Schizosaccharomyces pombe: one gene and its partner. The protein of the gene in region 1 interacts with the protein of each later gene in a biochemical or structural test. Each region holds a gene or a part of one and is shown in the gene's direction. Other genes may lie near its edges.

The links. Proteins that work in one complex are often made in the same cells at the same time.
Region 2: the proteins of eme1 (region 1) and mus81 form a complex in vitro, tested with the Schizosaccharomyces pombe proteins (one study listed by BioGRID).

Annotation. Positions count from the first base shown.
Region 1 is NC_003424.3:3,293,419-3,303,208, reverse strand, and holds eme1 (Holliday junction resolvase subunit Eme1), read left to right. Parts: upstream 1-3,295; 5' UTR 3,296-3,341; coding exon 3,342-3,428; exon of another isoform or gene 3,429-3,484; coding exon 3,485-3,576; exon of another isoform or gene 3,577-3,660; coding exon 3,661-5,689; 3' UTR 5,690-5,867; downstream 5,868-9,790. Other genes in the region: glycerophosphoryl diester phosphodiesterase Gde1, read right to left, coding at 5,868-9,258, 9,563-9,579. UniProt on the Schizosaccharomyces pombe protein: Interacts with mus81 to form a DNA structure-specific endonuclease with substrate preference for branched DNA structures with a 5'-end at the branch nick. Typical substrates include 3'-flap structures, D-loops, replication forks and nicked Holliday junctions.
Region 2 is NC_003421.2:458,954-465,214, forward strand, and holds mus81 (Holliday junction resolvase subunit Mus81), read left to right. Parts: upstream 1-3,766; coding exon 3,767-3,862; exon of another isoform or gene 3,863-3,871; intron 3,872-4,028; exon of another isoform or gene 4,029-4,030; coding exon 4,031-5,761; downstream 5,762-6,261. Other genes in the region: serine/threonine protein kinase S6K family Psk1, read right to left, coding at 1-457; PHD finger domain-containing protein Phf1, read left to right, coding at 1,164-2,549; mrpl4 (mitochondrial 54S ribosomal protein uL29m), read left to right, coding at 2,998-3,432; coq5 (C-methytransferase), read left to right, coding at 5,984-6,176.

The DNA of each region.
Region 1 (9,790 bases):
AAAACGTCCCGATATTGCGAGGAAAAAAAAAGGGAAACAGCCAGAAGCGTGCACGAAAAAAAGATCTCCTATTTTTTTTATAAAAAAAAAAAAAAAAGAGAAAAGAAATAGCCAACTAACGTGCGCGTACGGTATAAAGAGAGGGGATTCTTTTCAATTGCTGAAAAGAATTTTTAAAGGAAGAGAAAGAGAAAAAGAGGAAAGGAAAAAAAGAAAAGAAGAGGATGAATGAATACACAATGGAATTCAAGTACTAAGGGGATCACCAACTTTTCTTTTAGTTGCTCTATACTGCTCTGCTCTGCTCTACTTGCTTTGCTTTGCTCTATACTGCTCTGCTTAGCTTGCTGTTTGTTTTTGCTTGCTGGCGAAAGGAGACTGACTAAGAAAAGGTTTTTTGAGGAGGATTTGTTGCGCTTTTGTATGGATACGATCAAGATAATCAATTACGTTAGCCCACCAATCACGAAAGAGTCAATATTTTCCACGGGCCAATCAATCCGACCATGTTGGTTCAGGCTCGATAGCCCTGATCCTCGGAAAAGCAGCGTGCAAAAGCCGCTACAATGCAAATTTCAACTTTGGATCGGGTGACATGTGACTCAGAGGGGAGACGAGGCAGAAGCAGCAGGCGAGCGCAAAAGTAAACAGAGAAACGCAGCAAGAGAAGAGAAAAAAGGAAGAGAAAGAAAAAATGAAAGAGAAGAAAAAAAGTAAATTGAAGAAAAGCATTGTATAATAACATTTAAAATGGGAGAAAAAGAAAGATCAATAGAATAGAATAGTATAGAAATGCAGTAATGAATGACAAGAAACCAGGGAGCATCAGACATGTTCAGTAAATAATTCCAATAAAAGATAAGTAAAAGAAATTTGTCTGAGTGCAAAAGAATATTTCAAGATGTTGTAAGAAGGATTATTTTGTTTATTTTGTTTTTGTTTTATTTTATTTTCTTTTTCTTTTTCTTTTTGTTTTTCTCTTTCTCCTTCTCTTTCTTCTTTTCTTTTCATCGCTTCCTCTCATCTAAAACTTTGATCCGACTGATAGCTTGGAATCCATCGTATTGCATTACACCACACTATACAACGCTATATCCTTCGATGGATTATCTGGTCTTAGTCTTAGTCTTAGTCTTTATCCTAGTTATTGGTGCCTGCCCTAGCCCAGACAGAGATTTGAAGAATGGGGGTTAGGATCCTTGATGCCCCCAGTAGACAAAGAGCAGTATAGCAATGACAATGACAATAGCGATAACAATAAAATAGCGATAGTTTAGTAAAGAACTGTTAAATAGTAATAGTAATAGCAAATACAATTTCTATTTGAATCGCTGTCTTTGTCTACATTCGTTTTTTGCTCATGTTCCTTCATCTCCTGTGTTCATGCTTCCGTACGAAAAGACCTGCAACGCTTCCGGCCCATCGGACGCTGCATTTTACTTTTTTAGATGGAGCTCTGATCGTCCATCTCTCCCATTCCTCCCGGCTACTAAACCCGGAGTTAAGATAAAGGTGCGCCTGCTATCCGAAGAAAATAAACTCTGCGTAACCGAAGCAACAATGGTCGTGGTAGCAAAAGGAGTATAGGGTGAAAAGAGAAAAAGATAAAAGAGAGAAGAGAGGAGAGGCGAGAAAGGAAACAAGAATTATAATTAAAAAAAAAAAAAAAAGAAAAAAAGAGATTTTCTCTTAAGAATCAAAACATACTGAATGCAATTGTTTTGCCGAATACTACGATTTTTGACGTATTGCACTTTTTTTGGCTTATTGCTGGATCAACATGTATAAGAGTCTATTTAAAGGATTTCCGTTGTAAAAATACAACTTATCACACTCACACGTTGACACTAAGAGAAAAAAGCTATAGCGAACAATGATACACACACATATACATACGCTGTTGCTATTCACATACGCTGCCTTGATACACACTGTCTTGACTATAAGGAAAAAAGGTTTGGCTTGGTCACAAGTAAAATGTAGCGATGACTTTCGTACTCTACTAATGATTGTTTAGTGAAGAATGATAAAAGATAGTAGTGTGTATTGATTATACTTGTATAATGCAGTTGAATTTACTATGAATAATTTGGAAATTTCGCACAACTCGTTGGTCCTCTTAAAAAAGGAGAAATTTCAGTTTGCGAATATTGGTTTCTCTCTCTCTTTACTTTGCTTTGCTTTGATCTGCTCTACTATACTCTACACCCTTGCCTTTCTGCTTTCTTTGTTTGGTTGCAAAATTCACAGATCGCAATGAAAAAATGTTTTAAACTGCGAACTAATAAGTAGAATTGATTTTGCAATGAAAAGTAAAATTAAATTAAATAGAAAAAGAAAATTTTAAAAAGAGACAAAGAAGAGTAAGGAAAAAAAAGCCCCCCCCCCCCCCCCCCCGAAAAAAAAAGAAAAACAATGTATTCATGGTAAAAACAAAAAAAGTTTTTACTCATCATTCATTGTATCGTTGATCAATTAAAGAATACAAAAAAAAAGTAAGCATAAACCCATTTGGAAACATTGCATCAAAGGATTTTTCATTTTCATTTTCATTTTTATTTTGTTTTATTTTATTTTATTTTATTTTTTTGTTTACCATCATTGATGAAACAGACTAATGAAAAAGAAACTCTAGTACATTTTTATTTTTATTTTTATACTATTGAGCTTTAAATATTAGAGTATTTTATTCTATTGAATTTGAATTGAATTTATTTTAATTTTGGTTAAATTAATTGATTTTCTTTTCTTTGAAATTTTTATTTTATTCAATCTTTTTACACTTTCTAACGTACTACCAAAGTCCCTAAATACCGTATCGCCCTTCTACCTAAAATTCTTTCAAAATGACACACTAAACCACAGTATTTGCAAAAGAAATACTCACCCATCCCACTCATTGATTTCAATAATCTTCAATTCTCAAACACAAAACGACATCCTTTCAACTACTTCTAAAAGAATAAATATTTTCCTTTTTTTATACTATTCATCTTATCTAAACTCCTCCTGCATCCATTTCTCTTCTCCATTTTTTACCCATCTCTCACCTAACCTATATATACTTATATGTAAACAAACCTACTACTCTCTATACTTTCCATACCAAATATCCTCAAACATCCACGCAAACCTCCAATCTTTTTAATTATTCAAACTCTTTAATACCATTCCTATCTAAATTTTTTACTTCAAACTTTTTTTTTTTTTTCTCATTTCTTTTCGCTCTATTTCTGTCACCAACTCTCGTTCCCTGCCGGCTCCTTGTGTACACTTTGCCCTACCTGTCCTAACCACCAAACCCTCTATTGTTCGGAAAACAAACACTACACATGCATTGAATGACTCTGCAGTCTACAGATTCCGCTATTGTGATCGATTCTGAAGCTGATGTTGACATTTCAAGCTCACAAGCTTCTCCTTCCAAGGTTTGTCGCGTATTTCCCTTTCTTTCTGTTCGCTTTTTTTTTAACCCTCTTTTTAGGACAATATTGCTTTGTCAGAACACAATGTTATAACTGTTCTTGATACTCCTCAAAGATCTACTCAATGCGATAGTTTGCTAAAAAGTTTCAGGTAAGTTGACAAATATTGTTGCCAGCATTTCCTTCCTTTCCACACTTTTCTTCCACATCTCGCTAATCGTTCATTTGGGGTCAGTACTCCTTTAGTTTCCGGCTCCGAAGATGTTCTCCCTAGTCCCCGTGATGCCCTTAATATCACTAATAAAAAGTCGGTTACCGATAATCTTTTGCTCTCTTTAACTTCTTCAAACCAGTCAACAAACACGAATTTAAATCCTTCTTCACGCGTCGAAATCATTAATTTAAACTCTTCTCCCCCTAATTCCCTTTCCTCGCAACCAAAACACCAAGAATTTCATTTATTCCATACTCCCACCATTCCTAGGACTACACAATTGTCATCGAAAACCTCCTCTCCCATCGTTATTCCCGACGACAATGAACAAGTGGCTTCCCCTTTATCTAAAAAAGCTGCTTCTTTGACTTCTTCACCCTTAAAAGATTTCCAGTCCTCCCCGCCGCTCTCCACAGTCCTTCAAAAATCCCACTCCCTTCACGATATACTACTGGACACGAATGATGACGATCATTTCCCATTTACCCAGAGTCCGCTAACAAAAACAAAATCTTTCAACGATGCACTAACATCCTCATCCTCTATACTAAAGCCATGCATGCCATCCATCGCTAGTCCTACTTCTAATCGATTATCACATGCCCCTTCTACGCCTAATTTATTTCCTAACCAAGACAGCTCCAATACAATCGACCTCATCAATAACCGTTCCAAAACCTCCGTAGAAAATCAAGAAAGAACTTTCAATCTCACATCTGATGTGCACTTAGATAGCCCGACCTCTCCATCCAAGCATTCTTCAATTGAACCCAATACTAGTCAGGAAGATAGTTTTCAAGAACTTCCTTCTCTAAACAAACTTTCCATTCAAAGTAGAGCTTTTAAAAAAATGAGACTACCCAAAATTTCAAGGACTACCGATACGCCTCCTGCCTCTACTTCAAATTCAAATAAAAAAAATTTGGATAAATTAAAAAAAATGAGAAAATTATGCTCTAGGAGCTTGGAACCGTACGAGCTAGACTCTAATACACAACGTAAGAGGAAACGTTACGAAGATTCTTTGAAAAAATCAAAAACTTTAGATAAGGTTGACAGCTTGAATAGAAAGATGGCGAAAGAATTGGACAGAAAGAATTCAAAGGAACTTCAAAAAATTAACAAAGTTAAGAGAACCAAAGAAGAATGCCTATCTGAGATAATTCTTTTATCGCCGGATGATTGGGCTTCATCTTGGTATTCAACTGTTCGCTCTCAATTAGATTCATACAACTGCCAATTCGTTGTCAATTCAAATCAACCAAAAGACTCAATTATGTGGAAAAGGAAGGTAAACAATGTGTTTAATTCTTCTACCAACCGGTTTGAACTTAGCATAGAGCATGAACAAATCGAACCTTTTGCCCTACTACGGTTGAAATGCCGGGATTTTATAAAATACATCGAAGAGGACCAAGCTGATACTTTTTTTCATGAAATGTCTGAAAAGTTTAAAGGCTGTAAGCTAATACTGTTGCTGGAAGGCATCCCAAACTATTTTAAATCTCTGAAAGCAGAATTAAATCGTCAATATGCAGCAGCTGTTAATAGCGGTACCAGACCTTTGTTATTTGGTTCTTTATCAAAATATCAAAACTTTACTAAAGAAAAGTTAGAGAGTGAAATCGTCCGCTTCAGTTTCGAACATAGTATTCTTATAAACACTTCAAATGACGAAAAAGAAACCGCTCAATGGATAGTTTCCTTTACCGGCGACATAGCTTTATCTCGTTACAAGCACTTTTCTAAATTTTCAGCTAGAGCCTCTACTACCGAAATAGGACATGTCAAATCCGCCGATAGAATTGAAAACTCTCTAAATTTTATGTTGCGGCAAATACTACGAGTTACACCTAACATTGCTAACGCCATATGCGATCAATTTGACAGTATACCATCTTTAATTCATCATCTAAAAACTCACGGCGAGGAATCATTAACCAACGTTGTCATCCAATCTAGTATTAGTGAACGAAATTTAGGTCCGGTTTTATCGCGCCGTATATATAACACTTTCTTATGTAAAGAAGCATCCAGTGATGCACCATAGTGATCGGTCATTATTTGTATTTCATTAATTGTTATCATGATATTTTTTCCTTTTTTTTTCTATCTATGAAATTTTCTTATGATATACTTTCTTCTAACTAAAAATTAACTAATATCGGTTTCTAACTAAAGCACCTCATCTTCTATATCGTCGGTAGTATTCGTTCAAACTTTCTAGATCAATCAGATTCCAAACTTTCATCGTACTGGTTCAAGGCACGTCTAATGGCTAACACATTGTCTACAATGACAGCATCAACTCCAAAACGTACTTGGCGTCGGACATTGTCAACATCATTATTGAGAACACCATAGGTGTAGCAAGATAAACCCAATTGTTTAACTGCCTTGATCAGCCTCGGGCACATAATGAGCGGTTCACAAGCACTAACGATACCCAGAAAACTCCACTGTGAGGCAAACTTTAAAGCTTGTCTAAGCGATGCTGCACGAACGTCTGTTCGGTAAGCGGTACCTCCTTCAGTCAAAAAAAGAACAGGATTAGTCGATTTCAAAGAAAGTAAGATGCATATATCAGGATTAAAACTAGAGAAAATATACTTTCTTTTACCACCATACTTTTTGATTATCGATAGAATGGTATCCACGTAAAAGTTATAATCATAAGCTATAGGGAGCAATTTCTCTTCCTCAGCTTCACTTAGCATGGGGTACTTAAATTCCACATTAAGTCCTACGGATTGTGGAACTTCCTTCAAAACATCCTTTAAAGTTGTGAACGGTGCACAAATCGTATGACCAAGGGCATTACCCTTATATACTTTAGGCTTCAAACGTGCGTTTTCTTCAGCAAATTCACCGAAATTAACCTGTGATCCTGAAGGTGTAAATGAGGAACTGTAGGCCCTAGGACGTCTCTTCTGCTGAATGTCACTTGCATCATCTTTAATTTCTTCTGAAGGAGAGTGGGAAGCCCCTAAGAATTGCTCCAAAGTCAGCGAATGCACTTGTGCATCCGTTCCGGTTTCGTTTACGATAAAATCATGGTATACCACTGGGACCATGTCTTTAGTCATTTGCACATCTAATTCAACGTAAGAAGCACCAAGATCTGCCGCTTTTATAAACGATTGTAAAGTGTTCTCGCCAAGTTGAAGACTCAAACGATCAGGCTGATTCTTACCAAGTCCACGATGTCCGATAACCGCAACACCATTCGATTTCCCTGATTCTGATGTAGTTGTGGCAGATTTGTGTAAAGAACGCTCAGCGTCTTCCAATGCAGTGCGACTTACGTTGGAAACTGCTTCCAGCGATAAGGCAGGGGTACTTATGCCATCATTTGACGAAAATCTATCATCAACTGTCACCTTAGAAATAAGAACATCCGCATTAACATGAGCTATTGGTTTAAGAGTTTTACTCGAAAGTAATGGTAAGGGTGCCAAAGGTTTCAACGACTGCATATGATTCCCCAAATCAGATACCAGAGAAGTCAAGCAACATACAGTTCTCCCTAATATTTTATGGGATCGATTTGCTAACAAATCAATTGTAATAGTTGCTTCTTCTGTATTTCTTGTAACGAAAACCAATTCATACGGTGGAGAAGACCCGTTTACAGGTTGCGGACTATTTTCTTGTGCGGCATCATAATGCAAATGAATAGAGTCGTCGGCAATTTCATCAGGCTCCGCCAAATTCTCTAAGCAAACTTCACCGGCATTATCAAAATGGGAGCGAGGGATATCAATAATCACTGAGTTGTTTTGGCTAGAAGATGGTGTCATAGAGCCATTAGAAGCAGTAGTGTCGTTTTTACTCAACGAGTCAGTAGATTGAGACATGAAATCTACTGAAGATGGTCTACTTGCGGCAAAAGATGGAGACCGCCCTGAAACATACACAGCATCATCACCTTGAAGACTAACGCGGATTCTACCGGCCAAATCACTGATTCGAATAATGACCACTGAACGAGATAATTGTAAATCCATGGCACGTTTTCTGCTCCTCATTTCGGAACTTGAGGCTTTGATATAAAGTGTATGTAAATTAACAGGCTTATCACTCAAGGCGACTTGAGTTCTAAGTTTATCTGCTAGGTGTAAATACCCCCGAACCACAGCTTGTTCCATAGCAGTCCAACCTGAAGAATCAACTTCGTCAACCGAAGCGCCCGAGGCAACTAAAATTGAAACAATTTCGGAAAGTCCAGTAGCTGATGCAAGCATCAAAGGAGTCCATGAATTCAAAAAATCCCTTGCGCTAGGGTTTGCTCCAAGTTTGAGTAACATTTTAACACATTCCGGCCTGTTATAACGAACAGCGGTGTGTAAAGCTGTATTGCTACTAGCATCAACTTCGTTAGGATTGAATCCTGCAAGGATGAGTTCTTCTACGATCAAATCGTAATCGCCTACACAGCAAGTCAAGACCAAAGGAGGAACGGGTCCCGGCTTGGTAGAGGTTGTTTCCTTATCCTGAGCAGAAAGCAAAGCATGAAGAGCTTCAACATGATTTCCCTTAATAGCCAAAGTCAAGGGAGTGTCGTGCATTACATCGCGCCAACATGGAAGCATCCAATTCAATGGCTCAGAGTCAGGGATTGATGAAACAATTTCACAAAACTTACTGCACAATCCTGCCCAACCGAGTTTCGCAACAGAGTGCATCACACTCTGTCCCTTGCTATTTCGTTCTACAAGAAGAATCCTTGAAAGTAAACGATTAGAATGGTATGAATCCACATAAACCACTGAACAAATTTGTTTCAACACCTCCAAAAAATATAAAACTCCTTCGTCAGGACCACAGAGGTTGTTAATTGCACGACGTAATGCAGAAGCCAGGCACTCAGAACGTAAACCAATTCTTCCTATAACTTCACGCATACAAGCTTTGGCTCCCGCAATGATGGAGGCAGCCAGTATATCTACGAGTACACTATCAGGTGCATTTATACAAGCGGTCACGACCTCTGCGGCAATATCCAGTTGAATAAAAGCTAAAAGATCCTTCTTCAAGGGATGGTGAATTGACAATTTTTCCAACTTGTCTTTCACTTCACTATCGTTTTGAGAAGAATTCAAAGCCTTCAGGGCAATCATGGACTCATAGATCTTGGACGAATTCGCAAAATCAAGCTTACACACCTTCTGCTCATAAAATGTAACCAAGCGCTCCGTACCAAGGTGCTTATCCATATTGGCAGCTAGCTTTTCAAAGGCCAGCTTATTCCATTCACAAAAGGATGATAATTGTTGAAGACGAAAGTCTAGCTCTTTCAGTTGCTTCGCCTTTTCTTCAGCTTCGTAAGATGAAGACAGTGCCTGTGTAATTTCAGTATTGGGAGATTTCTCCGTAGACAAACGAGTGACATAATTATCAAGCTGGACAATGCGAGTATTGAACAAGTTAACAACCTTCTGAAGATCGTTTTCCAACATTTCGTCGATCGATCCCTTTGGCCATGATCCGTCACTATTACGCCTCAATAATTTCTTCCGTTCATCCTCGGGAAGCGCAGCAACCAGTTGAATCTTTCGCTTTATTCCATTATAATCAACATACTGTTCTGCAAACTCCGGGATCAACGCCAATTGAAGACTGTCGGTTAGCAGACAATGACTAAAGCAAACCAACAATTATAAACTAAGAAAAAGAAAAGTTTAAACAATGGTTAGTCATACGGTTGCAAATGATGAGAATGAAGGGAAAGGAGTTTACTGGCAGATCATCTTAATTAATCCCGTACTCCTATTCAACACAAATGCGTATCCTCAAACATAACCGTTACATTCAAGACATTAAAAGCCTTAACCATAATAAACTTTTTGCAAATATTGCATTCTTTAACGGCTATTTGAAGGTCTAAACAACATTCTAAAATGTGTAAAATATGTCGACCTACCTTTCACCAAACTTCATAATAAAGAGGACTGGGATTCAGGAATTTGAGAGAGATCGAAATTAATGGAGTAATCCAATCGTTCATAAACTACTATTTGGCTAAGGCCAAGTTCAAATACGTGGTAGAATACCACTACTTTGGTCGTCGTACGCTTCGTTAACGATAATAACGATTAGCAGCAAATATTGTAGAAAGCCAATTTTGGCTAGCATCGACACAGCTTTGACA
Region 2 (6,261 bases), on another chromosome or scaffold:
AAATGAACGGATGTCGAACCTCTTCTAATATCTGTCGCTCATTTTTGGTTTGTTCGAGGCCCTTGGCACGAAGAACAATGCTAGCTTTCTTTAGCTGTTTCTGAGCAAACAGTCGTCCAGTATTTTTTTGCTTCACTAGGAGCACCTTTCCGTAAGAGCCACGACCCAATACCGTTAAGGGTTGAAAGTCTGCTGGACGCATCTTTCCGCTTGGTACATAGTTGTCACCCTTGGAAGAAATAAAATCACCATGGGCAGCAACCTTAAACTCTACCGTCCCCTTTTCATCTTTGGCATTCTTTCCATCCTTCAAATCACTTGACGAAGTGATTGTCGACGCAGATGCCTCCAATTCTTCAAAATCATATCCCTCCTCTGCAATCTCATCGTCACTAGACAAATGGGAATTGTAATTCTCATTCAAATTGTCGTGCTCATCAAACATAAAGACAGGCATCTTTGAGCAATTTGTACTGTGAAGGATCACAAGTTTGGCATATGTATGCCCAAAATGCCTTTTCCTTGTTGTTTGGTAGACGAACAAAAGACTGCCGGGATGTAGAGCAAGAAATTCTCTTTGTCATACCTCATTTTGTTGATTCAAAACGCATTGCTGATTGGCCAATTTAGTAAAGTTTAGATATATATAAAGCTTTTGATTCGCCCTCTTTACTAATTAAAGTTATCAACTTACTACTTATTGGACCGCTTACATAGGCTATTGTGCGTTTTACTTTAAAATTTTTTTATGCCGAGAAGCTAGATTAGTGATGATTAACGTGTCTTATACGATGTGCTTTGTGCATTTTAACGAATGAAAATGTCTTGTTGCTTATGTTGTTACCGTAATGTAAGGCTGGCTCTGTAAAACGATGCCAGTTTTATATGGCCTATGCATACCTTCTTCTTGAGACGCGCGTGTTAAACTCATCTTTCGTTGAATGGCGAATTTACATCAATGAATTGAGATTTAGGAAGATTTACTTTTTACATAAAGTTATTCTATGGTCTCAGATATTTTGAATTAACATTCACTGCGTGACAATTGCGTGTATCATCATTTTAATTTGCGTTTCATGTTTGCTAGTTTCATCTAATTGTGCATTTCGTTTTAAATCAAAATTTTCCAAATTACTCATATTTATTAGTCCTCGTTTTTTACAATGTCTCAAAAGAATTTTTTCGACGAAGGAAAGAGCTATGGTGTAAATGACTATGCCGGTTTCCATTTTGAAAATGGTGCTGATTCATCCCTTCCTCAGGTATCGGCTCAAGGTGTAGTTAGAGAAACGGACAGCTCGAATTTTGATGCTTCCCCTGTCGCATCGGGTTCTGGAATTTCCGATGTTGGACCATTTGGCGCTGATTTCCATCAACTGCAGCAGCATGTACAGACACCGTATGGCGGTATGACTATGCCTGCATCTTCCTCTTCAGGCGCTACTTCAGTACCACCGGAGCAAGATCCTTCTTTGTCTGTATCATTCAATCGCTTGCCCAAGTCTGCATCAACCAAGACTAAGAATGGACGCATTCGATCGTCTCGTCGGGAAGACGATAATCGTATACCATTTTACGATCTCGATGTTGCAGAAGGTGCCGAGGATGATTTACAGGAAGACTTTCACGTGGAAGGAATGAAAACAAAATCGGGTAGAAAGATTCAGCGGCCAGTCGCATACAATCCTAATGCCACCGCATTGAAACGGAAAAGTCGCAAGGTCGATATGGTCACCTTGTGTAGCGTCTGTCAACGAGGACATTCTCCTTTATCTAATCGAATCGTATTTTGTGATGGATGCAATTCTCCATATCATCAGCTTTGCCATCACCCTCCGATTGACGATGCAACCGTTCAGGATGTGGATGCTGAATGGTTTTGTATGAAATGCCAGTACAGGCGTGCCAAGCAACCTTTAGAAACGGGAATGACGGCACAAGATCTTGGGTTAAGTGAATCAGACAAAAAAATGTATCTATCAAGTTTACCTACTCCTCATCTCGCAGATCTTATTCTTTTTTGTGAAAAGTCTTATCCATCTCTTCCCATATACAACCCACGTACTCGGGAGTTGTTGGGTGAGATTCGGCATCAACTACTTGTTAGTTCTGAACGCCAACAAATATCTTTACAAGAGCGACTTCATGCTAAACAAGATGAAGCTCCCTCTGATGAGCCTGCACCTGTCCCCTATACCGCAAGTTATGTTGCGAATTCTGGAACCTTATACGACTATCCAACGTTAATACGGTTAGCTATTCGTAACACCCTCTCACCTTCCAAAGATGAAATATTTAACTGGCTTGCTCAAAACGTACCATTGTTACCAACTTTTCACGACAGCGCTTCCGAGGCCATTCGTTGGATGGTAAATAAAGGTCAACTGGTCCGTTCCGGTAGCATCTATCAAATAGCAACAGTCGAAGAATACCCTCACCTCCAACCCTCTTTACTTCCTACTTTTCAACGAAACCGTAAGGTACCTAAATTGGTGCCTGTCTCTTTCCCCACCGATGATCCTCAAAATTTATGTGCTACTGTTTTATGAAACTGAACAAATTTTTCTAAATGTATAGACAAAAAAAATTTCTTTACTTCCCGTTTTTAATTAAACGGTTGCGTCCCGTTAATCTCGAAATAAATTTATAAGCGGTCGAAAGCAATGTATCATTACACCATGTATTAGCTGCAAATCAAAGTACTTTAGTATTTCCTTCATGGATTCAAACTTTTCACTCGATAACAAATCTAGGGAAAATACATAAATCGCCCTACACACTTTCTGTTTACATTATAAACTTTTCGTTTGGAATGTTTCCTCGCCATGAAATCTTAAAATAAAATAAAATAAGGAAATGAACAATTTCTCAATTTAGCAATAATTAAGAAAGTCAATGAAGTATAATAAAAAATAATTATTTTTAAAGTATGACTTACAACCATTATTATCGGTCAATGTCAGGGTGTTACAGCGCACCTTCTACTTACCACCAAAGATGAGGTCCACGTTGGCTAGCGCTCAGAAAGCAGCCGTACGTATTCCAAAGGGCTTTGTATTTCCTGTTCCAAAAGTAAAAAGTGCTCCTAAGGTTTCAGACACGCACCCTTTGTGGAATTTCTTTCGGGACAAGCAAGCCCTTCCACCACCATCGGAAGAGGCTAAATTCGGTAGAGCATGGGCTGCAGAAGAGCTTCGTTGGAAGTCTTTTAATGATCTACATGGACTTTGGTACAATTGTCTCCGAGAGAAGAACCTATTGTTCACACAAAGGGCTGAAATGAAACGCTTACAGTTGACTATTCCCAAAGCCTCAAATGAGCGTGTACTTGCAGTCAATAAAACCATGGCAGCTATCAAATTTGTCCTATGGGAACGCCAAAGAGCATATACTTCTGCCAAGCAGCTCGAGAAACAAAAGGGATCTTCTTAAACCCCTTCCTTTTAGGAAAACAGAAAATCATCCAAGTATGGCTTTATTATGATCTAAAGCTTCATCATTTCACAAACTTTCTAAAAATATACCCTAATACACGAGAAACTGTTTTATAATGATGATAATGATTTTTTATTTTGTTCACCTATAATTGTTTTCTTTATTTTGTTTATACTGATCATAAAATCTCGGTTGTCCCGGCAACCATGCTAATGTCTTTACACGAAATTTAGGAAATCGCATTCTATCCACATCCATTTGTTTAGACTTTTGTTTCGTGTGACAATCGATAATTTGAATGAAATAGTTTTTTTCTTTGTTTTTCGGATCCATGGATTGTGGAAATCCGCTGTTTTTACAATGGATACAGGAGTGGATGGAAGAGTCGACGCGTCGCTTCCCCAAGTCATATCAAACCTGGAGAAAGGTAGGAAATTTATTGGATTAGTGAAAAACTCTTTGAAAAATAAATAATTTAAATATTAAATTAATAATGACTGTAATTTTTCGAAAGCTTTTATAGCTTCGTACTCCATAAATATCATAACAATCACTGTTGTTGTTGTTTTAAATAAGAAACCGTGCTAATAATTAGGCCTACGATTCAATGAAAAGTTGCCCCATCACATTTCATCGTCCTTCTCAGGCATTGGCACTGAAGGGAATTGGCCCTACGATTTGTGCCAAGCTAGAAAAGAAATGGAACGCTTACTGTTTGGAAAATAATATTCCAATTAGCACGCACAATGAACAGAATGATTCTCATGTCAATGCTAATAAATCGTCTTCTGAGACTTCTTCTGAAAAGCCTCGAAGCGTTAAAAAACCGACTACAAGAAAGAGAAAGGTCTATGTTCCGAGCTATCGTTCTGGTGCATATTCAATTCTTTGCGCTCTTTATATGCTTAATAAACACGAATTCGCTACAAAGCCTCAAATTGTTACGATGGCCCAACCGTATTGTGATTCGTCCTTTGGATCTGCTACAGACCGAAACATGCGTTATACTGCATGGAGTGCTATGAAGACTTTGATCACAAAAAATTTAGTTTACCAGACAGGTCATCCCTCTAAGTACTGCTTGACCGACGATGGTGAAGAAGTTTGCATACGTTTGGCAAAAGTAGACGATTCCTTTCAACGGAAACATACTGTATCAAACTTTTCTGTCTCTAAATCCGATGATCATGATTCCTCTTTATGCCAACCTCCAAATTTTGTTACATCAATCAATAAAGCAGGAAGTTCTTCAGACCACGGAGGTGAACTACATGTTACTTACTGTCCGGTAGATCATAATGAAGTTTCTGATGGTGTTGAAACCGATATAGATGTTGATCAGGTGGATTCGTTGACCGGAATTCATGATCACCATATCATTAACAATGAGCAGTTGATTGACTTGACGGAACAAGAAAAAAAGCAACCAAATGAAAGCAATTTGTCTAACTTAAAAATCGAGACGGTATTATTCTCAAACTGTACGGTTTTTCTTCTGATTGATACTCGAGAAATACGTTCTCCCTTGGATCGCAATCTTATTATCGATAAACTGACTAATGACTTTGGTGTCAATTGTCAGGTACGATCATTAGAATTGGGAGATGCTTTATGGGTTGCAAGGGATATGGAAAGCGGTCAAGAAGTTGTGTTGGATTTTGTCGTTGAAAGGAAAAGATATGATGATTTAGTTGCTTCCATTAAGGACGGAAGATTTCACGAACAAAAGGCACGTCTAAAGAAGAGCGGAATACGTTCAGTCACCTACATTTTGGAGGAATCCTCTTATGATGAAAGTTTCACGGAATCAATTCGTACAGCTGTTAGCAATACCCAAGTCGATCAATTATTTCATGTCCGTCATACGCGATCACTTGAACACAGCGTAAGTTTGCTTGCTGAAATGACAAAGCAAATTAACCTGTTTTATGAGAAACGTAAAACCCTCGCTGTCATTCCCGATTTGTCGATAGAAGCCAAAACTTATGAGTCGTTACGAGAGCAACTTCTAAAAATTGATCCCTCAACTCCTTACCACATATCATACCATGCATTTTCCTCTGTCCTCTCGAAGTCTTCTACTTTGACCGTGGGGGATATTTTTATTCGAATGCTTATGACTATAAAAGGTATAAGTGCTTCAAAAGCCATCGAGATTCAGAAGAAATATCCAACATTCATGCATTTATTTGAGGCGTACGAAAAGTCATCATCTAGCCAGGAAAGAAACTTATTACTGAATAAGACTTGTCAAGGCTATGGTTTTCAAACAATAGGGCCAGCACTTTCCGCCAAGGTCGCAAGCGTTTTCTTTCCAGAATCTTGAGCCTTTGAACTTTTATTTATTTATGATTCATAATATTTATTCAATTTTCTTATCATTTCCCATATATTTAATTTACCTTTGCTTTACCATCGGAAATTGCGTATGTTAGTGTATTGCGGTATATAGGTAGCATCAGATTCCCTTCAAATCGTGAGTTTCTACCTAGCACTATCCATAAACAAAACCGTTACACTTGGTATTCGTTTTTGAAACTGCTGTATCATGTCACGTTTAAGAGCTCCTGTTGCTAAATTTTTAGCTGATGGATTGAAAGGAATCAGGTCTACAGCTTTGGCTGGCTCTCGATTGTCTAATTGTCGCTATACCAGTACTAGCTCGAAAGATACTGATACCTCAAGCCACATGACTCATTTTGGATTTAAAGACGTTCCGGAAGATGAAAAAGAGCACCTTGGTATGTATGGAAGAACTGGTTTGCTAGGACATGTGATTTGATTGTAAATCATAACATTTTGCATTTTGCATTTACTGAAGAAATT